Tamandua tetradactyla: one gene and its partner. The protein of the gene in region 2 interacts with the protein of the main gene of each other region in a biochemical or structural test. Links are inferred from orthologs where the notes say so. Each region holds a gene or a part of one and is shown on either strand. Other genes may lie near its edges.

Region 1 (7,704 bases), on a different chromosome or scaffold from region 2:
TATGAGGATTCGGCAATCATACTCCTTTGTTAAACCCTACCTTCTCTGTATAACTCCATCATCACCTTTGATCTTTCTCCCACTCTTTAGGGGTATTTGAGCTATGGTCATTCTAACTTTTTCATGTTGGAAGGGGCTGTAAATATTACAGGGTAGGGAGATGGAACTAGCTGATGTTCTGCAGAGGCTGGGCCTCTAGGTTTCAGGATTTATCTGGTCCAAGGACCCATCTGGAGGTAGTAGGTTTCTGGAAAGTTACCCTAGTGCATGGAACCTTTGGAGAATCTTAATGTAAAGTCCTTGTGTTCTTAAGGATTGGCAGGAATGGTTTTGGTTGGGATTTGGCAAGCTATGATAGGTAGCAATATCTGTCTAATTGAAGCTTGTGTAAGAGTGACCTCCAGAGTGGCCTCTCAACTCTGAACTCTCTCAGCCACTGAAACCTTATTTATTACACTTTTTTCCCCCTTTTGGTCAGGATGGCATTGTTGATCCCACGGTGCCAGGGCCAGACTCATCCCTGGGAGTCCTCTCCCATGCTGCGAGGGAGACTTTCACCCCCATATGTCATGTCCCACATAGAGGGGAGGGCAGTGGTTTCACATGCAGAGTTGGGCTTAGAGAGAGCGAGGCCGCATCTGAGCAACCAAAGAGGTCCTCCAGAGTGACTCTTAGGCACACCTGTAGGTAGGTTAAGCGTCTCAACTACCTGTATAAGCTTCACAAGAGCAAACCTCGAGATCACAGGTCTTGGCCTGTTTACTTGGGTGTCCCTAATGTTTGGCACAGTATCAAGGGATTCCCCAGTAGCAAAGTTTAATAGTTCCGTATTTTTTCTCCCATCGCTCAAGGGACTTTGCCAATACTTTTATTATCTGCTTAATATATTCTAGGATGTATCTAGGCATTACACTAAGCTATACAGGATTAAAGACCCTCATTCTTATTCTGGGCTCCCTGGGTTTCGATTGTTTAAATGAGCTATCCAGACAGGTTGAGTTAGATTATGTGCTGCAGAAAATTTAGGTTCCAGACCAAATAAACCTTTCTTCCTTTGTACTCAAAGAGTAGGTGAGGTTCTAAACTATGGACACTGCCTTCCTTACCTCTGTATTCTGAATTACCTTAATCCTGACCTGATCAGCTTTGTTCTTTTCTCTAAATATCAGGTTATACATACATAAAACAGCCTCTCAAAATCCAGAAATAATAATTACTGCAATAGGCTGCTATAAGAGCTTAGACTCTAGACCCCCGTTTTCTTATAAGTGTTTTCTAAAGGAGACCATACAATAATTGCTCTTTTGTTTCTGGCTGAATGTCCCACAGGTTCATTCACAGTGTTGTATGCCTCACAACTTCGTTCCTTTTTGTAGGAACACAATCTTCAATCATATGCATACACCATCGTTTGCTAATTTACTTCTCAGTCAGTGCATCCTTTAGCCACCTGCATTCATCGGGCATCATGTATAATGTCCAAAGTCCACAGTCCATCAACACTCCCAATTTTTAATAATTTCATCGTTTCCAAGAGAAAACCAATAAACACACCCTGGCCAAATAGGAGATCTAATCCTCCTCTTAACTCTTGTCCCTCCCCCTGTTATTTACCTCTGTTGTTACTGTGGTAGTGCTGTTTTCCTTTTAAATATAGCCCATGGCATGCAATAGCAGTTTTCCCCTGTACCCTGAACTTAAACACTCTTTGTACACAAATAGTACCTTTGAAGTAATTCTTACAAGAGCTAATTCCTATTTCTAGTGTTAATCAGTGGGACGTGTAGGTCTAAAAATACAACCCCTTTCAATCTTGTTCATCTTCAGTATGGTAATATTACTTATAGACCCACTAGAGAACCATCTTCACTTCTATTTATTCCCTTACATTGGAGTTCAACCTCATTAGCCAACCATTCACCCATCTCTAGGTTATATGTATCTCTAAGTCCCCTATATTCTGTATTAAAAGCCTCTGATTATACCTTTATGATGGTCATAAACGTGGAGTCATACAGTATCGATCCTTTTGTGTCTGGCTTATTTCACTCAGCATTATGTCCTCAAGGCTCATCGATCTTGTCATGTGCTTCAGGACGTCATCTTGTCTTAATGCTGCATAATACTCCATCACATGTATATACCACATTTTGTTGATCCACTCGTCTGTTGATGGGCATTTGGTTTGTTTCCATCTTTTGGCAATTGGTAATAATGCTGCTATGAATATCGGTTTGCAAATGTCTGTTTGTGTCATTACTTTCAGCTCTTCTGGGTATATACCAGGTAGTGCTATTGCTGGGTCTTAGGGCAACTCGATATTTAGTTTTCTAAGGAACCACCAAACAGTCTTCCATAGCAGCTGCACCTTTATACATTCCCACCAGCAGTGCATAAGTGTCCCAGTTTCTCCACATCCTCTCCAACATTTATAGTTTCCTGTTTGTTTAATAGCAGCCATTCCTATAGGTGTGAGGTGGTATCTAATTGTAGTCTTGATCTGCATTTCCCTTAAGCCAGTGAAAATGAACATCGCTTCATGTGCTTTTGAGCCATCTGTGTTTGCTCTTCAGGAAAATGCCTATTCATATCTTTTATTCCATTTTATAATTGGGTTTTTGTTCTTTTGCTGTTGAGTTGTATGATTTCTTTATGTATTGAGGATATCAAACCTCTGTGCGATGTAAGATTTCCAAATATTTTCTCCCATTGAGTTGACTGCCTGTTCACCTTTTTGACAAAGTCTTTTGAGGTGGAGAAGCATTTGATTTTGAGGAGTTCCCATTTATCTATTTTTTCTTTTGTTGCTTATGCTTTGGGTGGATGATTGAATAACTATAGACATTTTAAGGTGTATTCATGTAATTGTGAAAACTTTGTAACTATCATTCCCTTTATCTAGTGTATGGACAATGAGTAAGGGAAAAAGAGGAAAGTAAATAAACAATGGGGGGGTATGTATGTGATGTTTTGGATGTACTTTTTTTAACTTTTATTTTAATTTTTATTCTTATTTTTATTTTTTTGGAGTAATGAAAATGTTCAAAAATCTATTGTGATGACGAATGCATATAGCTATGTGATGATACTATGAACCACTGATTGTACGCTTTAGATGATAACATGGTATATGAATATGTAATATATTTTTTGTTTAAAAAAAAAAGTGATTGGCCAGTACTAATGATTTTTACCATTTTTATATGAACCGTTCAGAAGCTGACCACATGCTTTAATTTTGCACCGTTGTAGTGTTTTTTACCTTTGTTTCTAGAACCTACATATTGATCACAATTACTGTTTTGTACATGCCCTATTAACTCTTACAGCCATTCTCCCTTGTAGATTTAGTTGATTTCTTAAGTACACCTTTCTGTAGATTTTTCAGCGAGGCTCTGTGAGTTGTAAACCTTGTCTGAAAATGTCTTTATTTTGCTGCCATGCCTGAATGATCATTTAGTTGGGTATAGCATTTGCAGTGGCTGGATATTTCTTCTCAGTGCTTTGTTTCTGTCTCTTGCTGCTGTTGAGAAGTCAGCTCTTTGTCTAACTGATAGCTCTTTGTAGAAATCTGTTTCCCTGCCGCCATTTAAAACTTTTTGTTGGTGGTGTTTTACCTTATGCATAGTCTAGGTATAAATCTATTTATTTTGTTCTTGCCTGAGAATGGCTGTGCTGTTTTTCTCTTTGCCTTGTCCCTCAGGAATTCCTACGAGAAATGGATTGGGCCATCTCACTGTGGTCTCCTGTACTCTCATGCAGGTTTCACGTTTCCTATCTTTGTATTGTCGAATGCAGTAGTCTGGGTCATTTCCTTGGGTATGTCTTCCAGTTTGCTAACTCTCTTTTCAGATACTATGACTTTGCTTCTTGAACCTGACTATTAAGCTTTTTTTCATTTCAGTAACTTTTTACAGGAAACATCCAAATGGTATGTGGTTTTCAAATTCATCTCTCTGGCCATAGTTTCACTATTTGCACTCATTTAAAACACAGCGCGCTCTGTTCTGATTGACCTTCAAGATTCGCATGCGCGGACAGTTTGTTTCATTTTTACAAGCTCGTCTTCACCTGGGGGTACGTCCTCCCCGCCCTCCCGTCCGCCCTAGGGCTCCCCTGTGCCCTGGGCTGGAGAAGTGATCATGCATTTTGCTGTGCGAGGAACCTTAAGGGTCTTCACTGGTCCAGAATGGTTCCAAACATTCTTTTGGAATGTTTCTTTTAATAACGTAAGAATTTTACGTTAATTCTTCAGCGTGGGTTTCCTGCCCGGCAGAATTTTGGATTTTCTCCTGTGCATGGCCAGCTTGGGGTCTTGGTTTCTCCCGGCAGCCTCCCCCTTCCCTTCGTGTCCTGCCACCTCCCCAGCAGAGTAGCTTCCTTGTGGATTGTTTGGTCTGGTGGTGATAAACGTTTTTCCCGCCCACCGTACGTAGAGGGGCTGCCTTTTGTGTTCCAGCTTTTTATAGGTGTGGTTCTAACTCCCACAGACTCGAGGCCGCTTCTGTTGCTGGGCACTCGGCAGTCCCAGCCTTCAGCTGTTCGAGCTGTGGCCATCGTCAGTCCCCTGGGCCACCAGCAGTCGCTGACACCTCGCCCTCCTGAGCGTGGGCTTCCTCCTGGCACCTGGGGATTACACTTACACTCTTAGCTGTGTGTGTGTCTGTACACAGATATATATACACACGGAGATATGTATATGTGTATTTTTCTTATTTTTACCTAGTGTTTTCATGTGTTTGTGGTGGAAGGGATAACCCTCCTAGGAGCAAGAACTGGAGTTCTTTATCTAAGTGTCTTACTGTAAGACCCTGTGCCTTAGGTGCCAAAGTGCCTCGCCACTTGGTTTGGACTCGGCATAAATTTAGAGGCAAAGATCAGTCTAGAAGAGTGTGAAACCAGCTCCTGAGATGCTTTGCAAGACGCCCACTCTCCAAATCTCGACTGATGCAGTGCTGCTTTTTTCCCTGTCCCCATCTTCAGTCTTTTTATCGAAATGACCGTGTCTGTGTCTTTAATTACAGAATCATGTCTTCATTGCCCTAGCCACTGCATAGTTTTGATGGAACTGATAGCAGAGCAGATGGTTTCAAGAACAGATGCTGCTGTCACAAGCCCGGGTGCAAATCTGTGTGCCCTTTGGCAAGTGGCTTACCCTCCCTGTGACTCCATTTCCTCATCTGCAGAATGGGTGTGATCACCACCCTAGGAAGTGGGCACTGTTACGAGAACTAAATAAGATGACGCATGTGTTTTAAGTTGCTGGGCTGCTGGAGCAAAGCACCACAAACTGGGAGGCTTCAAACAACAGACATGTGTCTGGAGGACCCAAAATCAGCCAGGCTGTGCTGCCTCTTACACCTGTAGGAAGGAATCTGTGCCAGGTCTGTCTCAGCTTCTGGTAGAGGCTAGCTGTGCATCCGTGGCCTTCTCCGGCACAGCTGTTGCGGGGCACTGTCCTGTGTGGATCTGTCTGCCTGGGTCCAGTGTCTTCTCCTTATAAGGACACCAGCCATTTGGCTTCATCTGAACTAGTAACATTCAGAAATCCTGTTTCCAATAGGGTCATCATGCTCACAGGCCTGGGGATGGCGACTTGAACAGAGCCTTTTGGGGGACACACAATTCAGCCGCATGCCCAGTGCTTGGCCCCTTACCTGCCTTAGTAAACGTACCCCGGGCAGTGGCCCCGGCGCTAGCGTGAGCGGGAAAGAACGGGCGCAGCGGCAGGCAGGTGAGCGTGGGCGGGCAGGTGAGCGTGGGCGGGCAGGTGAGCGTGGGCGGGCAGGTGAGCGTGGGCGGCACAGCGCGGGCCTGCGATGTGTGCGGTCACGCCTGCCCCCGACACCCTCTCAGGCTGTCTTGGTGCCCGTGAGAGGACACAGTTCTACAGTCAGGTCGGTTCGCTCCGTCCCAGCTTCCCTTCCAGACCCCAGAATGGGGGATTCACCCCTGGGTAGAAAAACCCAATGAGACACTAAGGGGACCCTGGGTACCCAGATTAAAATAAGTGACATCTCCAGGCCGGGGTGGGGGGGATGGGGTGGGGGGGCTGTGCTTCCTGGGAATTCCTTGGCTTTCGCATTTCTAAGGTGGGTGGACGTTTGCATGAAAAGGGTTTTAAAATGCTGGATTAGAGCCAATGATTAATCTTTTTGCTCCTGCTGCTTTGGAAAATGGCATTTGTTTGAGAACTTTCCTTTCCAGACTAAGTGGTCCCCAGTGCATCTTTGGTTTATTTTAAAATCCTGCCCACTAGGCCTGGTCAGTGATACGTGCCCTCCAAGCATCTTGTAGGTGACAGGCCAGAGGGACAGTCCCCACTGCCTCTTTCAAGGTCCCTACAAGGCTCAGGAGGCCTGTCCTTCCTCCACCTCCTCCCCCCTCCCCTCCCCTCTTCCTCCCAGTTCTCCTCTTCTCCTTTTCTCCCCTCCCCTCCTCCTCTTCCTCCTTTCCTTCCTCCCTCTCCTTCTCCTTTCCCTCCTCTTCTCCCTCCTCCCTCCTTTCTGTCCCCCTCCCCCTCCTTTCTGTCCCCCTCCCACCTCCTGTCCCTCCTCCCCACAAAGCCCAGCATTAGTCATTGCTTTGGCTGTAGCCCCAGGTGGCAAAAACAAGTCACTCCTTCCCTCCTGAGCCTGGAGCCAGCTGAGGAGCTGAGATGGTCCCCGTGGTTATTGCTTAGGGGTGTCATAGCCATCTCTGTGGCTCCGGCTGCTGAGCCTTCGCAGGCCCGTCCCGAGCGAAGTGTGCATGTGACGTCTGTACATATGTGCACGTGCCTGGAAAAATGCACACAACACAACATTGACCGTTTTCACCATTTTTAAGTGTAATTTGTTGGCCTTAACTATGTTCACAATGTTGGGCAGGCATTGCCTGTGTCTTGCTCCAGAACTCTTCCTTCATCTGAATTAGAAACTCTGCACCCGTGAGCAGGCACCCCTATTGCATCTTCCCGCTGTCCCCCACCCCAGCCCCTGACAGCCACCAACTTGCTTTCTGTGTCTATGGATTTGCCTGCCCTGGATGTTTTCATATGAGTGGAAACCTACACCGTGTGTCGTTTTGTGTCCGGCTCCTTTCGCTCAGCGTCGTGTCTGCAGGGTCCATCGGCAGTGCAGCTCACAGCAGACCTTCGCTCCTTTCTGTGGCCGAGTAACACTCCGTTTCTGGCTGGACACACAGCTGATCCGTCCGGCAGCGGCCGGATGTCTGCTTGGGCTGTGTCCTCCCTCGGATGGCTAGGGATGGTGCTTGTGGTTTGCGTTCTGCCACTGTGTGAACCGCCTCGGAAGGGAGAGGTGCTGTCATCTGTGTGTTATGGAGAAGGGGGGCTGGGGGGCTGGCCTGGGGAGCACGGTCGGGACCCCGTGAAGGTGGGATTCCTACCCCTCGCCGTGCTCTCGGGAGAGTCGCCGGTGGCCGCCTTTCTGTCTGTCTGTCTCACCTCGGCATTCCAGGCTCGCAGCTGGCGTGAGGCTCGTCCTGGCCAATCTGGCAGGAGATGGGAAACAGGAGACGTTTGGGGGTCCTGGAAATGACGCCTCTGGGTGTCTGGGAGTCTCTTTCCAGGGTGACGCTGTGGCAGAGATAGCGGGAGGCCGGGCGGCTGGGGGAGTCCCTTGAGAGAGCAGTGAGCCTGCCCTGTGCTGTCCCCCCGCTCCCAGCCCTTCTGTCCAGTCCTCCCCAGTCTCCTGCACCCCG
Region 2 (7,009 bases):
AGCAGCCCAGGGTCCTGGGCTCAGTACTCTGTGGTGACGAAGGCCAGGCCAATTAGAACTAAAGATACCATGAGGCTTGTAGGGATAACTACCAACAGCCCAAAATGGATCTTTGTGCTATGCTCTCATTCCGTCAGCCGGCACTGAGAGAGACCTGCATTGTGTGCCAGTCCCCAATGCCCTTAACACAATGCCAGGTGTGGGTCCAGAGGTGAGGGAGCTGGAGAGAGGAGGGCAGTTTATAGACAGCAATTGCAAGGTCTCTTCTGGTCTCACACAGGCAAATGACACATTACAGTGACTTCAGTTTTTTACAACAAGGTAAGACTCATGGTCTCAACTGGTATGGTCAAATCTAGAGAGTCCTGCCCATTTCACAGGTGGGAGAGACCAGCTGAAAAAGGCCCTAGCTTGTTTAAGGTCACAAAATTGTATCAGAATCAGTACACATGGCTCTCTTTGCCCAGTCCTTGACTCTTCCAGGAAGCACAGCTGCCACCAGTGTGTAGGTACTGGCAGCCCAGCTCCATGCCCAGCCCTGCCACTGTGACCGGCTCGGCACCAGGAAGCCAGATCCTGGATCTGTCAAGATTCAGTGAGAGTGCCAGGCACCAGTGCCCTTCTGCAGCATGTCCCAGAGCCTGACTGGCACAGCCACTCAGCTTCTGCATGTCCTTGGGAAAGGTGCCAAGAGTCATAAACACCCCAAACCCAACCTTAGGCAAAGAGGGGAGCAGAGACCCATGTCTCTGTGTCTTCCACAGTTCGCTGGGGACTGAAAAAAGCAAAGGCAACAATCAAAGCCAGCCTGGACACCACGACTAAGGATTGGGACTTCTGAGCTATGCAGGTTCTGGTCAGCTCCATCGACCACCCAGTAGGACAGGATGCTCAGGCCTAGAAGGGAAACCACCCCTATGGGAGGGAACAACTTTTCTGCTCCTTTGCCCCAAAAAGGGCATTTCAAAGTCTCTTCAGACCAGAACACCCTAGCCCTTTCACCTATACCTCTTCTACTTGGACGGACAGAAAGCCAATGTGACTGGACAGCTCAGATGGCACATAAGACACAGCCAGGTGCTAACCTGGAGGTGAGTTAGGTCCAGACCAAGCTGCAACTTCCTCCGCTCTCCCTCCATCCTCAAAATAAGCCTCAGAAATGTCTAGGGTCCCTGTCCCATAAACTGTATAAAGCATGGCATTCCTGGGCAGGAAACTGACTCAGGGACTCCTAACCAGCCTGGACAGGTAAACCTGACAGATAGCATTCTGGGGATAAAGGAATGTGAGAATCTGAGAATCTCTCATGTTCCACCCCACTTATAATCTCCAGCACCCAGGGCTCCTGCTATACAGGACAGGCCTCAGACAGGTCAAGTAGAGAGGGCTATTCTCTGTCCTGGGCCACTCTACCATGAAGCATGTAATTGCACCAGTTGCTGTCCACAAAGCAGAATGTGCCTCTTGCTGGAAGAAACTTCTGAGTCTCACACACATCTGGGTGTCTGGCTCCCAAGGGGTCTGGCCCAGCCAGGGGAAGACTTGTCAGGCCTGGAAGTCCTGCTGAAGGTACCTAATATCAGTGGGGGCCATCCTCTCATCCTGCCTGCTCTCTCCCACACAAGATGCTGATTTCCATTCTTAGCAGGCCTCAAAACCTCAGAGGCCACAAAGCTAAAGTTTGAGAAGGACCAAGATAGCAGGATGGAGGCTGCCCATGATCCAGGACCCTTATTCCTGGGCAGCCCCAAATGGTAAGCCAGTCAGGTGGTGGTGGTGGCATGAGAGCCAACTGGACTTACCTATCTTCATGAGGCAGGCCAGCAGGATCCACAGGGAGATCTCAAAGGGTATGCGCACGTGTGGGTAGTCGATACCCAGGACTGGAAAGGCCTTTCGTGTCTTCGTGCTGTGGTCAGTGACGGAATGGTTAACAGGGCGGCTCTCCGGGGTGACCTCAGGTGGGGCGGTGGTGACATCCCCGATAGAGCGCTCCCGGGGTGGCTCGGAGCCCCGGATGGTGCTGGCAGTGGGGCTGGGCTGGAGGCCATGGCTCCTGAGGACAGGTAGCAGTCCCACCAAGGCTACCACCATGAGAAACGAAGGGAAGATCCGTGGTGGAGAGGGGCCACTGATGCCACGCCACAGAGGCATCGTCCTGCTCCCTGGGCCCAGTGGGCCTCTACCTTTAGCAAAGGGAGAGTAAGACGTGGGACATGGGTAGGAAGGGGTCCGAATGCCAGAAGAGAGACTGGAAGAGTCTCTAGGAAAAGTTCATGTTCTAGAGAAGTACTTTCGTGGAAGCAGTCCTCTGGGGTGGAAAGAGGTGGGGGGGGGGGGTCGCAATAGGTGGGAACCCCAAGATTTGAGACCGAGAACTGGAACTCCAAAATGGAGAAGAGGGACAAGGACCCAGGAAGGATTGCAGGAGGAGACAAAGGTGTGGAACCTTAGGCCTGGAAAAGAGAGGGGGAGGGGAGGAGTCTGAGCCCTGGAGCCAGAGCAGGGGACTGGGGTGGCTGGACCCCAGGCAAGTGATAGGAAGAAGGAAGACTGCGACCCTTGGCTGAGGAAAGTGACTGAGGAGCTGGGACTGTGGAATAAGGAAAGGGGTAGGGAGCCCAGGCTAAAGGAAGGGGACCAGGGAGGATGGGACCCAGGCCAGGAATACGGAGAGAGGACGCTGGGAGTCCAAGCTGCCAGGAAGGAATGAAGCCGGAAAGCGGCCGGGTGCTCCCCACCCAGAGAAGGGCTGGGGTCGAGGCGCTGGGCTGAGATTCCGGGGAAATGGAGGGAGGCGGAAGGCGGAGGAAGGCAGCCCGGCAGCAGGGCGCCTCGGCGCGGGCTGGGGGCGGCTGGTGGTGGGCCGGCGACAACACGCCCCTTCTTGCGGCCCCTGGACGTCGCTGCGCTCCGCCACGGCCCGGCGGCAGGTCGTCCGCGTCCAGGTCCAGTCCTAATCCCAGCCACAACCTCAGCCCGGGTGGCAGCAGACTGATTCCGCGCTGAGCCCGGCGCCGCCTCTTATAGGCACCACCGAGCTACCGGAGCCCGCGGCTAGAGCGACCTGTCAGCGCCCGCGCAGCACAGCGGCCCCTTTCGCCGAGGGAAGGAAGTATCACGTGGGAAGAGCAAGAAGAGTCAAGAGGCAAAAAAAGTAAAGTGATTTACTATTTAAAAAGCGCTTTCACCTCCACATCCGCGGGCTCATGAAGGCTTATCAATAATCCTGTGAAAGACATATTATTATCTTAAATATTTAGTTACCATGTGACCCTGAGCAAGTTTCTGAACATGTTCCACAGCTTTCTCATCTGTAAAGTGGAGGTAGTAGTAGCACCTGTACCAGGATACCGTGATGACTAAATGAGATCAAGTATCTAGAATGGCACACCAGACCATTACTAGGAGAAAACTGAGGCACAGAGTGTTCCTTAGCTAGAATGTAGGTTGTAGAGCGAGGTTTGAATCTGTGGTGTTGATTGGCAGTACTTAATCACTAGAAAGTTTTTTTTAAGTGGTGTTGCTGGAAACCCATCTTTAGAGGTTTGGATTAAACTGCTTCAGGAGAGTGCCCAGGCATGGGTATTTTTTTCAAAGATCCTTGGGCGATTCTAATGTACAGCTTACATGTGTGAGGACAGAGAACTACTAAACTACTGAAATGCTGTCCCTGTTTTGCAGAAGAGTACATTGAGGCCAAGAAGTCAAAGTGACTAGTTCAAAGTCACGAGTGATTTCACAGGGATTTGATTCAGCTTGTCCAACATTTATTGGGTATCTTGTGATAAGCCTTGGCTGTGCTCTGCCAAAATAGAGATGAATGACATGGTTTTTGCCCTCAGTTTATACAGTGCCCAGTGTCCTAATTTTCCATTGGATCTTCTTTCCACTACTCTAGGACTTCAGAAAGTAGAAAATAAACTGCACTCTTAGGAGGTTGCTTCTACCATCTTCTGTGGTTCTGGATTTCAATCCTGGGCTTCTCCAATCTCGTAAGGCAACAGCATACAGTGGAAAGATTACTGGATTTGTTGTCAGATTAAGATAGGTTCAAATCTAGTTAACTGTTGCCTGATGAATGATCTTCAGCAAGTCATATCACCTTTTTGAGCCTATTTCTTCATCCATAAAATGGGGGTGATGACACTAACAATATCTAAGTCAAAATGGATTCTAGTGAGAACTAAAGTGTATGTGAAAGCACTCCATGAAGTCAAAGTGCTAGGCATATGTCAGTTTCCGTTATCTTCAAATATTTATTCTACTGAGCACCTTCTTTGTGTCAGGTGCTAAGTACTGGGCATACCGCCATGAACAAGACAGACAGGGTCCCTGCTTTCATGGAACTGATGCTCCACTGGAGGGAGAGAGATAATAAATTAAACAAATGGATAAGAAAAAATATTGATATGCATTAAGAAGCAAATAAATAAGATAACGCATATTTATGTACACAAAAGGCAGTGGGTATAACAATGTCCATAGCAGCAGTATTCATAATGGCCAAAACTGAAAATAACCCAAATAGCCAACAATGGCAGTAAATAAATTGAGGTGTATTCATGTGATAGAATGCTATATAGCAACAAAAATGAATGTGCTATTGCTAAACAACAACATGAATGACTTTCACAAACAAAGTTGAGTGAAAAACACTAAACATAAAATTCTAAATACTGTGTAATTGCATAAAGTACAAAATTAGGGAAACTATGATGTTGGATGTAAAGATAATGATTAGCTTTGGGGCGGAAGGAAGAAGTAGTGATTGGGAAGTGGCACAAAGGAAGGGGTAGACTGTGAGGACTTCTGATGTGCTACTAATTTTTTACAAAGGTTACATAGATGTAGTTGTTTTGTGATAACTCTTTGAACATGCAGGCCCTCGTGGGTGCACTTTTCTCTAAGTTTGCTAACCCACCACAAGCAAAAAGATATATTTAAATAATAAGAGTAATGTGACCATGACTGAGGGTGACAACACTGAAGCAAGTTCTCTGTACTTCACATTCTCCTGGCATAGGCTCAGCTATCACGGAGATGATGGAAGAGCCTAGAAGGGCCTTCAGGGAAGACGAGGGTCCCTGTGTCACCTGGGAACAGATGAAAAGAGAACATCAGCTGTAATGGAAGTAATCAAAGAGAGGAATGGCATCTAAGCAAGGACCAGAATAGCGACAATAATGCCTTGCAATTGTTAAGCCTTTCATAGTTCACAAACAAGTCCCCCAGGTATAGCAATGATCCAAGCCCTGGTGCATAGTGAGAGCTCAATAAATACTAGCAGTTATTCTCATTCTCATTTTACAGATGAAAAAACCACAGCTCAGAGACGTGAAGCAGTTTGCCCAAGGTCACATAGCCCAAGGCAGCAAGTCCAGGACTTAAGTCAGGGTTCTGACATCTGAGTCCGGTGCTCTTTCAAAACACCAACAAGCTCAGCATAGAAGAAGGAACACAGGGAAAAGGTGTGGCCAGGATACAGATTTTCCACAGGTACGATGGGGCAGAATTCCAAGACCCACAGTCCTTTCTAGTCTCGAGGGCAGCATTCACTGGTACGTACTGATCCCTCCTACTCTCTAACTCCTCTGAAACTCCTCAGTGAGTCTTTTTGTGCCAGCCTGGAGGTAACGGATCCCATGAGAACCAGGAAATGCCTCCACAGCCTGGAGTTTATGACAACCTGACAACACCAGGAAAGAGCCCTAAGGAGAAGCCACTTGGAGCCACCTTTGGCCAAGGCCCAGCCCAGGCGAGATCATGTAGCATAACAGTTGAACATTCAGGGGCTGGGAGCCAAACTGTATAGGTTCAAATCCCATTACCACCGCTTACTAGTTAAGACCTCAGACGAATCAGTCAACCTCCCTGACCCTTGGATTATTCCTCCATAATGTGTGGGCAGCAATCGTGCCAGCCTCATGGGGCTGTGAGGACGATATTTGCTAATATACGTAAAGCACTTAGAGCCGTGCCCAGCAAGCACCGCACACACTCACATCATCACTACTCACATGCAGCAAGGGCCGCAAATGTAAACCTTGGCGTTAGGGCCACATGAAGTCACACATTCAGTCACAGCAACATGCTGACAGGCTAGAAAGAAGAGCCTCTTGTCTGTGAGACTGGTCCTCCCATCAGACCGCACCACCTGAGATATGCTATGAATTTAAAATGTTTAAATAAATTATGTTGCTGAGAATTTGTGTGTGTTAAAAGCATAAGCTTGTTAAAGGTAATCCGTTAAAATAAACTGCAATATTTGTCACCCTCTTGTAGCAGGTCCTCATTCTTTTTTTAACCATTCCAGGCCCGCACTGCTCTTGACTGGGAGAGGCCACGTCTCTGCAGACTCTCCCTCTGCAGATCTTGGGCCACTCGGGGTGCCTGGGCCCTGCTGGCCTCTCCAGGTGCTTAGCCATGTCTGTCCTCCTGCACCCTTTGATGAATCCCTTGACTAAAAGTCCTGGGCATTTTAGGGACTTGCTATAGCTATGAGGTGTACAGATGCGTGGCAGGGAAGGCATGATGAAGAAAGGATCGCTTGGCCACTTCTTAGGTAAGTCACATCTTGTTCCTGTTCCTCAGATTGTTCATGGGTATGGAAGGTGCCATAATACCCACCTCGTGAGGCTGTTAGTAAATGACCGGTATATGTCAGGCACGGTTGCCGACACGTTGTTGGCACTCAGTAACTGAATTTGTTTCCTTCTTTCCTTTGTTAGAGTAACACAGCCCAACAAGGACATTCTCCCCTTCCATCACTCCACTCCATCCACACTGACTCCTTGTTATTTTGCACTGCCAGGCACGCTGCTGCTTCAGGCCCTTAACACCTGCTGTTCCCACTACCTGGAACACTTCCCCAGATGGGCACCCGGCTCATTCCCTTACATCCTTCAAGCCTTTCCACACATCTCTCTCTCTCTTTTTTTTTTTTTAACATGGGCAGGCACTGGGAATCGAACCCGGGTCCTCTGGCATGGCAGGTGAGCATTCTTGC

Evidence for each region.
Region 1: the proteins of SLC9A1 (region 2) and TESC form a complex in vitro, tested with the Homo sapiens proteins (4 studies listed by BioGRID and IntAct, with this or other methods). The link is inferred for Tamandua tetradactyla from reciprocal best matches to the Homo sapiens genes SLC9A1 and TESC.

What each region holds. Positions count from the first base shown.
Region 1 is NC_135331.1:17,544,255-17,551,958, reverse strand, and holds the start of TESC (calcineurin B homologous protein 3), read left to right. Parts: upstream 1-4,689; 5' UTR 4,690-5,634; coding exon 5,635-5,734; intron 5,735-7,704. UniProt on the Homo sapiens protein: Functions as an integral cofactor in cell pH regulation by controlling plasma membrane-type Na(+)/H(+) exchange activity. Promotes the maturation, transport, cell surface stability and exchange activity of SLC9A1/NHE1 at the plasma membrane.
Region 2 is NC_135328.1:199,117,018-199,124,026, reverse strand, and holds the start of SLC9A1 (sodium/hydrogen exchanger 1), read right to left. Parts: upstream 3,001-7,009; 5' UTR 2,155-3,000; coding exon 1,803-2,154; intron 1-1,802. UniProt on the Homo sapiens protein: Electroneutral Na(+) /H(+) antiporter that extrudes Na(+) in exchange for external protons driven by the inward sodium ion chemical gradient, protecting cells from acidification that occurs from metabolism.